Linked DNA regions of Arabidopsis thaliana. The protein of the gene in region 1 interacts with the protein of each later gene in a pairwise test. Each region holds a gene or a part of one and is shown in the gene's direction. Other genes may lie near its edges.

What was found. The genes of interacting proteins can lie anywhere in the genome.
Region 2: the proteins of SCY2 (region 1) and AT4G38490 interact in a two-hybrid assay, tested with the Arabidopsis thaliana proteins (one study listed by BioGRID).

What each region holds. Positions count from the first base shown.
Region 1 is NC_003071.7:13,424,980-13,431,165, forward strand, and holds SCY2 (SecY protein transport family protein), read left to right. Parts: upstream 1-2,031; 5' UTR 2,032-2,080; coding exon 2,081-2,165; intron 2,166-2,459; coding exon 2,460-2,957; intron 2,958-3,047; coding exon 3,048-3,136; intron 3,137-3,233; coding exon 3,234-3,313; intron 3,314-3,442; coding exon 3,443-3,532; intron 3,533-3,640; coding exon 3,641-3,732; intron 3,733-3,842; coding exon 3,843-3,926; intron 3,927-4,078; coding exon 4,079-4,220; intron 4,221-4,381; coding exon 4,382-4,498; intron 4,499-4,612; coding exon 4,613-4,742; intron 4,743-4,838; coding exon 4,839-4,962; intron 4,963-5,047; coding exon 5,048-5,154; intron 5,155-5,239; coding exon 5,240-5,329; 3' UTR 5,330-5,653; downstream 5,654-6,186. Other genes in the region: AT2G31540 (GDSL-like Lipase/Acylhydrolase superfamily protein), read right to left, coding at 5,754-5,947, 6,056-6,186. UniProt on the Arabidopsis thaliana protein: Involved in protein export. Probably interacts with other proteins to allow the postimport or conservative sorting pathway for inner membrane proteins in plastids. Central subunit of the protein translocation channel SecYE.
Region 2 is NC_003075.7:18,004,511-18,007,872, forward strand, and holds AT4G38490 (uncharacterized protein), read left to right. Parts: upstream 1-1,777; 5' UTR 1,778-1,874; coding exon 1,875-1,911; intron 1,912-2,005; coding exon 2,006-2,088; intron 2,089-2,162; coding exon 2,163-2,308; intron 2,309-2,406; coding exon 2,407-2,488; intron 2,489-2,579; coding exon 2,580-2,693; 3' UTR 2,694-2,862; downstream 2,863-3,362. Other genes in the region: AT4G38480 (Transducin/WD40 repeat-like superfamily protein), read left to right, coding at 1-95, 193-336, 414-1,085, 1,262-1,492; AT4G38495 (chromatin-remodeling complex subunit), read right to left, coding at 2,956-3,087, 3,183-3,250, 3,341-3,362.

The sequences.
Region 1 (6,186 bases):
TGAAAATAGCCGGTGTTTTGATCGCCTTCCTTCATCCATTGATTACGACTCTTCTGCTTCCAATAAATCTCTTCGTCACTAAAGGCCTTCGCTAGTGACTCTTGAAGTTGTGGAATTAGTTGTCTGTCAACCCTCCTTGTACTCTCCATTGCTCTGTTTAGGCTGCTTTGAAGTTTTTTGATTCGTTGTTCTGAGTTTAAATTAGAAGCGTGTTTCAGTCTTGCCATGGCTTGTCGACAACTACTGATCCGTTCCGTGATAGGTGTAGAACGTGAATTCCGGTTTGTCCTCCAGCTTGTTTGAACAATACGTTTGAATGTCGGTATGTCAATTAAGCGGTTATCAAAACGGAAAAGCTTTGATCGACGGGGAAATGACTCGTTGAAGTGAACTAGGACCGGTTTGTGGTCAGAGCCCGTGAAGTCCAGGAATTCTGTTTCAGCATATGGAAATGTTGCAGTCCAGGCTGAATTAATAAAAACTCTGTCAAGGCAACATTTGACTGTGTGTGTATGTCTTTCCCCTACCCAACTGAATCTATCTCCTTTTGATCTCATATCTTCAATGTCACAATGAGAAACCATGTTTCTGAAATTTCTAAAAGTCCATTCCTCTCTCATGGGACCACCAATTTTTTCAGCGTTCGAAAGTATCTCATTGAAGTCACCCACTAGCAACCATTCAGCATTTCGATTATCTGAGATATGTTCAAGAGTTTGCCATAGTTGATGACGTTCAGATTGAGTAGGGTGACCATACACACAAGACAAGTAGAAGCTCTTATTATTAAATGTTACATGAGAATCAATGAGTCTTTCATCCTGAGAAATCAAGGATAAAGAGACATTGTTTTTCCACATAAGAGCTAAGCCACCACTCCTTCCATTAGGGGGCTGAGTTATTACATTAGGGAAGCCTAAATCATATGCTAGTTTACATACTTTATCACACTGGTTTAAGGTTTCAACTAAAAATAAAATATCATAGTTATACATACGGAATAAGCGAAACAACCGCGATTGAGTCAGCGGCATACCGATGCCCTGACAGTTCCATGAGATGATCCTCATATTGGATCCCTTAGGGGTACCGGGCCCCCCGCGCCTCCGTCACGTCCATCATGTATCGAACACGATCCTGCAGATTCAGTCTTTCTTCCTTTCTTGCAAAGTTGACTCAGAACGCCCATTTCATCTGCAGCTTCCACCTGTTGGTACATTTCTTCTAATCGAACCCTCTTTCTCTTCATGAAGACAAACTCATTTTGTGCATTGTCAGAGGACTCAAGGAGCAGATCTTTCTCAACCGGTGCGTCAGTTTTAACTCCTGCAAGTTTGGCGTGAAGGTAGCGGAGTCTTTCAACTGTGAGGTCTGTGTCCTCAATGACGCATGGAACCGAATAACCATCTGAAAGTTTTTGTACCTGGCGTTGATTCCCCTTTGAAAGCGAAGATTGAAGGCCGGGAATAAGAGTCGCTGGATCCACTGTCTGAAGAGTATCAGTGTCGCTTATGTCATGTTCTTTGTTGTCGTCGTGATGATCGTCATCATCATCAGCATCATCATCATCACTTGTCTCCACCGGATCTGCCCAATAGGAGACTAATATTATTTTGGGGTTCTTTTTGTCAGAAATTACTTGGATTTGTTTTTTTTTTCAAACCACACAGTAATTAAAAATAAAACTTTTTACATTGGCATTTTGGTCTTAACAGCATTGTGATTCTTCTCCTGCCAACAAAAATTCATCTAATACCATCATCAATTATATGGATTATTACAATTTTGTTTTGTCATTTCATTCTAAAAAATATGAGTGATCTAATTCTTGTAAAATTTTGATGTGTAACCTGAAATATTGATACACTAATCTATAGCCAATTAAAAATGACAAAACATAACATTGGGTAAATAGTAACATAAAAATATACATGAATCATAAATTTTAAAAGTATGCTAAGTATGTATAAGATTTAAAAAAAAAAAGATTTTAAGAGAGTTATAACAGTAACACACTTGAAAGCCGAAGTTTTGTTCTTCCTTGTCTCAGCGCCGCGTTTTTTCTCTCCTCATCCTCTCGATGAATTCCTCTCAAGCTTGCTTCTTCCATTTTTCTCTTAGACCAATCTCGCTTTCGCATCCCTCCTATGCCTTCCTCTCGAAACGTAAGTTTTCCTTCCCCAAATTAAGTGCTTGGGAATCGAAATTTTAAGAGATTGTTGTTACCTAGACTAGTTCAGGATACAATCGTTAGAGTTTCGTTGCTTCGAATTGATTAAACCCTAATTTCAAAAGCACAGACCTGGGTTTTTCACTGTTCCTGCAAAGTTGATAACTTTTTCACTGATACTATCTCTTAGACTAGTTCTCTTAACCCGGAAATTCTCTCAAAGTATCCAACTTTATGAACAGAAACAATTGTTGAGGCATGTGTTTTGACCTTGATAATGTTTTTGCAGGAGACCCATTTCTGTGTTCTCAACCCAGAAAATGCCTTACTACGAATTTGAATATGTCAAGAACGAGACAAGGGCATTCTATACAAATGAACAGAAGACATCTTCTTATGAAAGAAAGGAAGAGTTTTTCGATAAATTATTCCGATAAGTTCAGAGATGATTCTATGAGTAGCGAGGAGATGCATACAGATGCTTTGGATGTGGAGATTATTCCGCCAGATTCACAGGACATTCGTAATTCACAGAACTCTGCTGTCTCCAACACACTACAGGATGATAGGCCAAAGTCTTTTAGAAATAGGTTTCTTGATTTTGTTCGGATAAGTTCAGTACTCAATACTGCAGCAGAAAGATTCTTTAAGAGCGAGATAAGGAGGAGGTTGTTTGTAACGGCTGTTTTGCTTGTACTTAGCCGTGTTGGATATTTTATACCTTTACCTGGATTCGACAGAAGATTAATACCTCAAGATTACCTTAGCTTTGTCTCGGGTTCTGTTGGTGAGTGTTCTCATGTCATTTGAGTCTTATAGTCCCTTGTTTGGTTGACATTTCTATGTATTTGTAGTTAACATTTTATGTTTTTGATAGAGGAACTGGGTGAGTTTGGAGCAGAGATCAAGCTTTCGCTCTTCCAGCTTGGGCTCAGTCCACAAATAATAGCATCCATAATTATGCAGGTTAAGATCTCTCCTCGATTTGATGTGTTTGCCTGAGTCTGTGCGTTCTTTATATATTAAGATTATGATTGATGATAAAGTGCTCATGAAACACCAGGTGCTTTGTCACGTTCTTCCATCCTTGGTGAAACTGCGAAAGGAAGGCTTAGATGGTCACGAGAAGATCAAGAGTTATATGTGTGTTTAGTTTCTTACCTCTCAAGCCGTGAGATGAATTCTTAACATACAATTACTTTGTTTGTCTTGTGACTTTTTTGCTTCATTAAACAAAGTTACTAAATCGCCTTTTTGGTCTTATTTTATTAGATGGTGGCTATCGTTTTTCTTCGCTATAGTGGAAGCATTAGTGGTGGCTTACACTTCTCTTCAATATTCAGTTTTTGCAGCCACTGCCCAGTAAGTTAATTAGGATTCTTCACGTTCGGGGTATCAAAATGGTGCTTTTAAATTCTATCATCCATTTTGCCACAACTGATGCTAAAGTAATAATGCATGCTTATTCAGGGTCAAGCATGTGATGATGACATCATCTCTGCTAGTCTGTGGTGCAATGACAATGACGTGGCTCTGTGATACAATATCAGAATCTGGATTTGGTATTTGATTCTCTATATCTCTATCTCTATAACCATTGGTAGCTTAAAGTGATGCTGATATGGAGTAATTGGTGGAGCTTGCTCATAACCTGTTTCTAAGCCTTTTACAGGTCATGGCTCATCTCTGATTATTTGTGTGGGAATATTGACGGGCTACACAGAGACTTTACACAAGATGCTCAATCAAATCTCAGGTACCTTTGGTTTTTCTTACTCCACATTTCTCAAACTTATGGTTAGTCTTTACATTAGACCTGCATGTCTTCCACATTTCCTGGAGGCAACTATCATTCGCCTATCTTCTCAATTGATTTATAAAAAAAGGAAGCGTTCTTCTCTTTTGCAGGAAGTTTCTCGAACTGGTTGCCTTACTTGTTAGGCTTGCTGGGCATTTTTACCGTAGTAACTATGTTCGCTGTTGTTGTTACTGAGGGCTGCAGGAAGATTAAACTACAATATTATGGTTTTAAACTTGCTTCTGCTTCGAGGTGATATATGTAGCTCAGCATCATTATTTTATCGAAAAGATTGTTGTATAATTGCCACTTTTACCAATATAGCTAGGAGTAGATTACGGTTAAAGTACATTTGGATGCAACGTGTGGTTTACTCATATTTGTGTTTATGCTATGTTTTGCCATTTGGGCAGAGAAGGTTCTCCAATAACAGAGGTGGAGCCGTACATACCTTTTAACATCAACCCGGCTGGAATGCAACCTGTTCTCACAACCACATATCTTTTGGCATTCCCCAGCATTCTTGCAAGGTAAATTGCTTGAAGAACCTCTTACTATTAGGGTTTAAATCATTCCTGTTTCTTACTTCTTTGTGTTATTGTTACCATCTAAGGCTGTCTAATAAGGTAATTTATTGTTTTTAGTATTCTGGGTTCACCTTTCTTGCTAAACATGAAGGAGATATTAAACCCTGAAAGCACAGTTGGAGCACCACCTTGGGTCTATTACTCAATATATGCGTTTTTCGTCTTTCTCTTCAACATATTTGACATTGTGAGTAAATCCATTACACTTTTTCTCAGTCTGAATTTCAGTCTTCCAATGAACATTAAACATTACATTTACCGGGTTTCTTGTTTTGTTATGTAGGCCAACTTGCCAAAGGAAATAGCGGATTATTTAAACAAAATGGGGGCGAGAATACCGAACATAAAGCCTGGGAAAGCCACAATCGAGTACTTAACGAAGATACAAGCATCAACTAGGTTTTGGGGTAAGTTAAGCTGTTTCATTTTAGATATATTGCGTATATGGTACAAGTATAATCTCTAAAAACCATTTCATTTGGTTTGATGCAGGTGGCCTTCTGTTGAGCTTTTTGGCAACAGCTTCTACTGTACTTGACCACTATCTACGCAGCATCAATCAAGGCTTTTCTATCGGATTTACATCTGTTTTGATCATTGTAAGTGTTCTTTCCACGTATCAATATCATTCAGTTTAGCAGTATTGATGTCGTTGTGTTAATAATCTCTATTGTTTGTGTACAGGTTGGTTCCATTATTGAACTCAGAAGATCTTACCATGCCTACAATGTAATGCCGAGTTTAAGCAAAGCGTTAAAGAGATATGGCGTATAAAGGGAGATTGGAGAAACAGAAGAACTTATAGATATATTATTGTCGTTTAAACTTTAGAAGTTTCTGTAGCTCTTTTGATTAGTAGATTAGGCATTAGATAATTTGTATTAAGAACCAAAACACATTTCCATCATAATATTAGAAGACTTAAAACCCAAGGGCCAAGTATCACAAGCATTTGCGGAAAGATTATGCAGGAATAGTCGAACTTCATAAATGTCTGCAAATACTCCGAGAATTATTGAACTTGAAACTGATTTCTTTTCTTCGTTTGTCCAGAAAATGAGAGTCAATTGATTTAGTTGTGGCATATTTGGCACTAATAGGAGCCAAAGTTACATTTGATTCATAAACGAAAGTCCACAACTAGTCGCATTAAAGAAACAAGAAAATTAATTGTGTCAGTTTTGCAACTCGTGATGACTTAAGCCTGGAACTTTCCACGAATTAGAGGATCCAGAAGATTGCCTATGACATTATAGGTAGCTTCCGATGGATGAATCGAGTCAAAGAACAAAAACTCCGACCGATTTTGACACACAGGAGAAAAAACATTACACATGAAGCTCGTCTCCAGGAACCCTGTTCCACAACATCCTCTCTTCGTCTCTTTGAACCCTGTTTCAATTCCACACACACGAATCATATATATATATATATATATATATATATATATATATACAAATAAGAGAACTTGTGGAACAAGAAAGATCTTTATGTACATACCGTATTTGCTAGGGTTTTGGATCATCTCCATCATAGGATTATAGACATCGGCGTAAAGGAATTTGCTTCCTGGAAGAGATGCTTCGATTTGGGGCAAGAGATTCTGAAGTTTCTCATTGTATAAAACAGAG
Region 2 (3,362 bases), on another chromosome or scaffold:
CCTTCGATTCCGGCCACTTCAATAATATTTTCCAAGCCAAATTTATGCCTTTCTCTGACGATCGTACCATTGTCACATCTGCTGCTGATAAGCAGGTACCACTCTGCCTCTCCTCTTCATACCTCCTACCGCGAACCACACCTCTTGATAGCTCCTCATGTTACAACTAGCTTATGTTGATTTTTGTAACAGGTCCGCTATTCCAAGATTCTTGAATCTGGACAGGTAGAGACTTCTTTGTTGGGTAAGCATCAAGGACCCGTCCACAAATTGGCTGTTGAGCCTGGAAGTCCTTTCTCATTCTATACTTGTGGTGAGGATGGGGCTGTCAAGCATGTGAGTTGTATTTTTCATTTTGTTTTCTTATCGTCTGTTTTTATACCTAGGCCGCCTAAAACAACACGTATTTTCAGTTTGATCTTAGGACTCGGGTGGCTACAAATCTTTTCACTTGTAAAGAAGCAAAGTTCAATTTAGTTGTCTACTTGCATGCAATTGCAGTTGATCCTAGGAACCCTGGTCTTCTTGCCGTGGCTGGAATGGATGAGTATGCTCGTGTCTATGATATTCGTAGCTATCGCTCCGAGGGTTGGTATAATTTTACCCAACCCATAGACCACTTTTGTCCTGGCCATTTGATTGGAGATGACCATGTAGGAATAACAGGTCTGGCTTTCTCGGATCAAAGTGAGCTCCTTGCTTCGTATAGTGACGAGTTCATCTATCTTTTCACCCCTGATATGGGGCTTGGCCCAACCCCATATCCATCTTCAACTAAGACTGAGGAGAGGATGACGCCTCAGGTTTATAAAGAGCACACGAACCGTGAAACAGTCAAAGGTGTCAACTTTTTTGGACCCAAGTGTGAGTATGTGGTAAGTGGTTCTGACTGCGGCCGAATATTCATCTGGAGGAAGAAAGACGGAGAGCTTCTCCGTGCCATGGAAGCAGACAGACATGTTGTCAATTGTATAGAGTCTCATCCTCACATGCCACTGATGTGTAGCAGTGGAATAGATACTGATATCAAAATATGGACTCCTGGAGGAACCGAGAAACCTCTGTCGCCAGGAAATGCGAAACAGGTAATGCCACATCTATTGCTAACCTCGTTTGCTTCTTTTATTTTTGGTGTTTGAAGACTCGGAGGATATGCTTTAGTTAACAAGAATGTAACTTTGGATACAATACATGTGACTGGAGGCTGAATTTGGTTTTGGAAGGCAAACTAAATGTTTGTATGTTTGCTTCTTGGAAACAGGCTTCGGGTTTTGGTAACCCACGATGGTTCGACGGATATTATGTGGATGACGATGATGATTCTGACGATGAATCTAGTGAAGAGAGTTCAGATGATGATGATAGTTCGGAAGAGGAGGAGAATGGTGAAGTTGATGTTGAGATTACGAAGGATGATGATAATGATCATGGGGATGATGATGATGATGATGATGAGGATGATGATGGGGATGGGGATGGGGATGAGGGATGAGATTTGTATAGACATGTATTTATCTAAACACAAAATAAAACAGCATATGGTAACAGTACCAAAGAAAGGATTAGTTATAGTTTAGTTAGATGTCATCATCGTGGATACAAAATACTATTCAATAGACATTTTCATTCTTAACCAAATGGATCACATACATAATCAGCTTCTGTAATGTCAGATTGTCAGTTTCTTCAATGAACTAGAATTTCCAACAATCCAAATTCCAAAGTAATTTAAAATGTAAAAGATGTCATTGGTAAAATGGGTTTATAATCCAGGAAACTTTGAGCCCAAAAAAGGCCCATAGATCATCGAAGGCCTTTGATATCTGCGACGGCGAGATCAGCTTCGTCTTCCTCCAACGCTCGATTTAGGGAGGATGGTGGTTTCTCCGGGGCTGCTCTCAACTGTTTCAGGTCACTATTCGCTCCGGTTGCTTCTTCTATATACTTTCCCACTGCTTTTTGATATTGTCCTTAGTAATCATCTAGCTTCGATTTTGGTTCATAGGCGTAATCCGATTGGCTCCGTCACACCGGATTCTAAGACGCGATGGGTTCGGACCCATTTGCTTCAAGTTTTCTGGGGATTTGGTAATTTACCTTTCTTTCTATTGCGGCTTAACAGCTTAAGAAGCTTTTCACTTAAGCTCTGTTTGAGTGTGTAGAGTATCAATGGGAGAGTCAGTCATAAACATGTGCGTGGAAGTGGCACGGTGGGATCTGTAGGTTCCGCTCGTGAAAGTTGGAGCTCTCATAAGAAGCTTCCCGAAGAAGAGCCCTTATGGCTGAGTCTTCTTAGAGACATGGTCTGGTATGAAATTCTCCCACTGAGTCTAGCTTTTAATATATATATCTGCTGGAAGAGTCTGAATGTTGCATTATATTGAATTGCATTTTTCTTGTGAGAAGGAGCACGAGATCTCTCTTGTCTTTCATGGCTGAGCAACCAAGTCAGCTGAAATACATAGAGTGGCCAACTTTTGCAAGCACGGTATGTCTTGTTGTTGTTGTTACAACATATGAGAAAGAAAGAGATAGTTTGTGGGTGTAACTTTGTTTTTTTTTGTTTTGGTAACAAACAGCTAAAGACTGCTACACTGAGTCTGTGTCTGGTAGCTGTATTCATTGTTGCGCTATCATCGGTGGATGCTGCTCTTTGTTACATATTGGCGTTGATCTTGAGGAAAGCCCCATGAGGAAGGCAACTCCATTATCATTTGTCTCTTGTAGCCTTATTGATAGGTGAATGTTTTTGATGTAGATAGAATGCAGGAGGATGTACTCAAAATCAATGTGTTTCTAAAAGTTGAATTGAAATGAAACCTCTCTGGTCTAGTATCTCTCACACATTAAGGGAAATCCAATCATATATGTCCCAAGCAAATCACACCATAAATAATAAGGAAGGATTCAACATGTTGTTGGTTTACAAGTAAGAGAATAAGATGATGCTAGGTGCTACTTGAGAACAACAGCAGCATTGCGAATGGAGAGATACTGGTGGACTTGGTCGGAAGAAAGTGATCTCACAGTCTGGAAAACATGAGCATTAGCATAGCGGAGGTTTGTTCTTGGGTCCACATAAGGTGCCTGCGAGGGATTAGAGAAGCTCATTGAGTTTTGTTGTTTTTGGGTAGTGAATAAATTTGTAGAAAAGAATCGATCACTCAAAAACAGAATAAAACCTCATATCCAGTAATATCGCAAAGTCTCTTGCATGGTTGAGTGGAAGGAGGCGATTCAATGTTAACATCTGCGAGGCACAAAGAAGATTTGATTTTTGATTCAAACAGAGTCAAAAATCCATTCAAAATCAGAAATCAGAGAGAGAGAAAAGAGTTACAAGTGGGGAGGTCGGGAGGAAG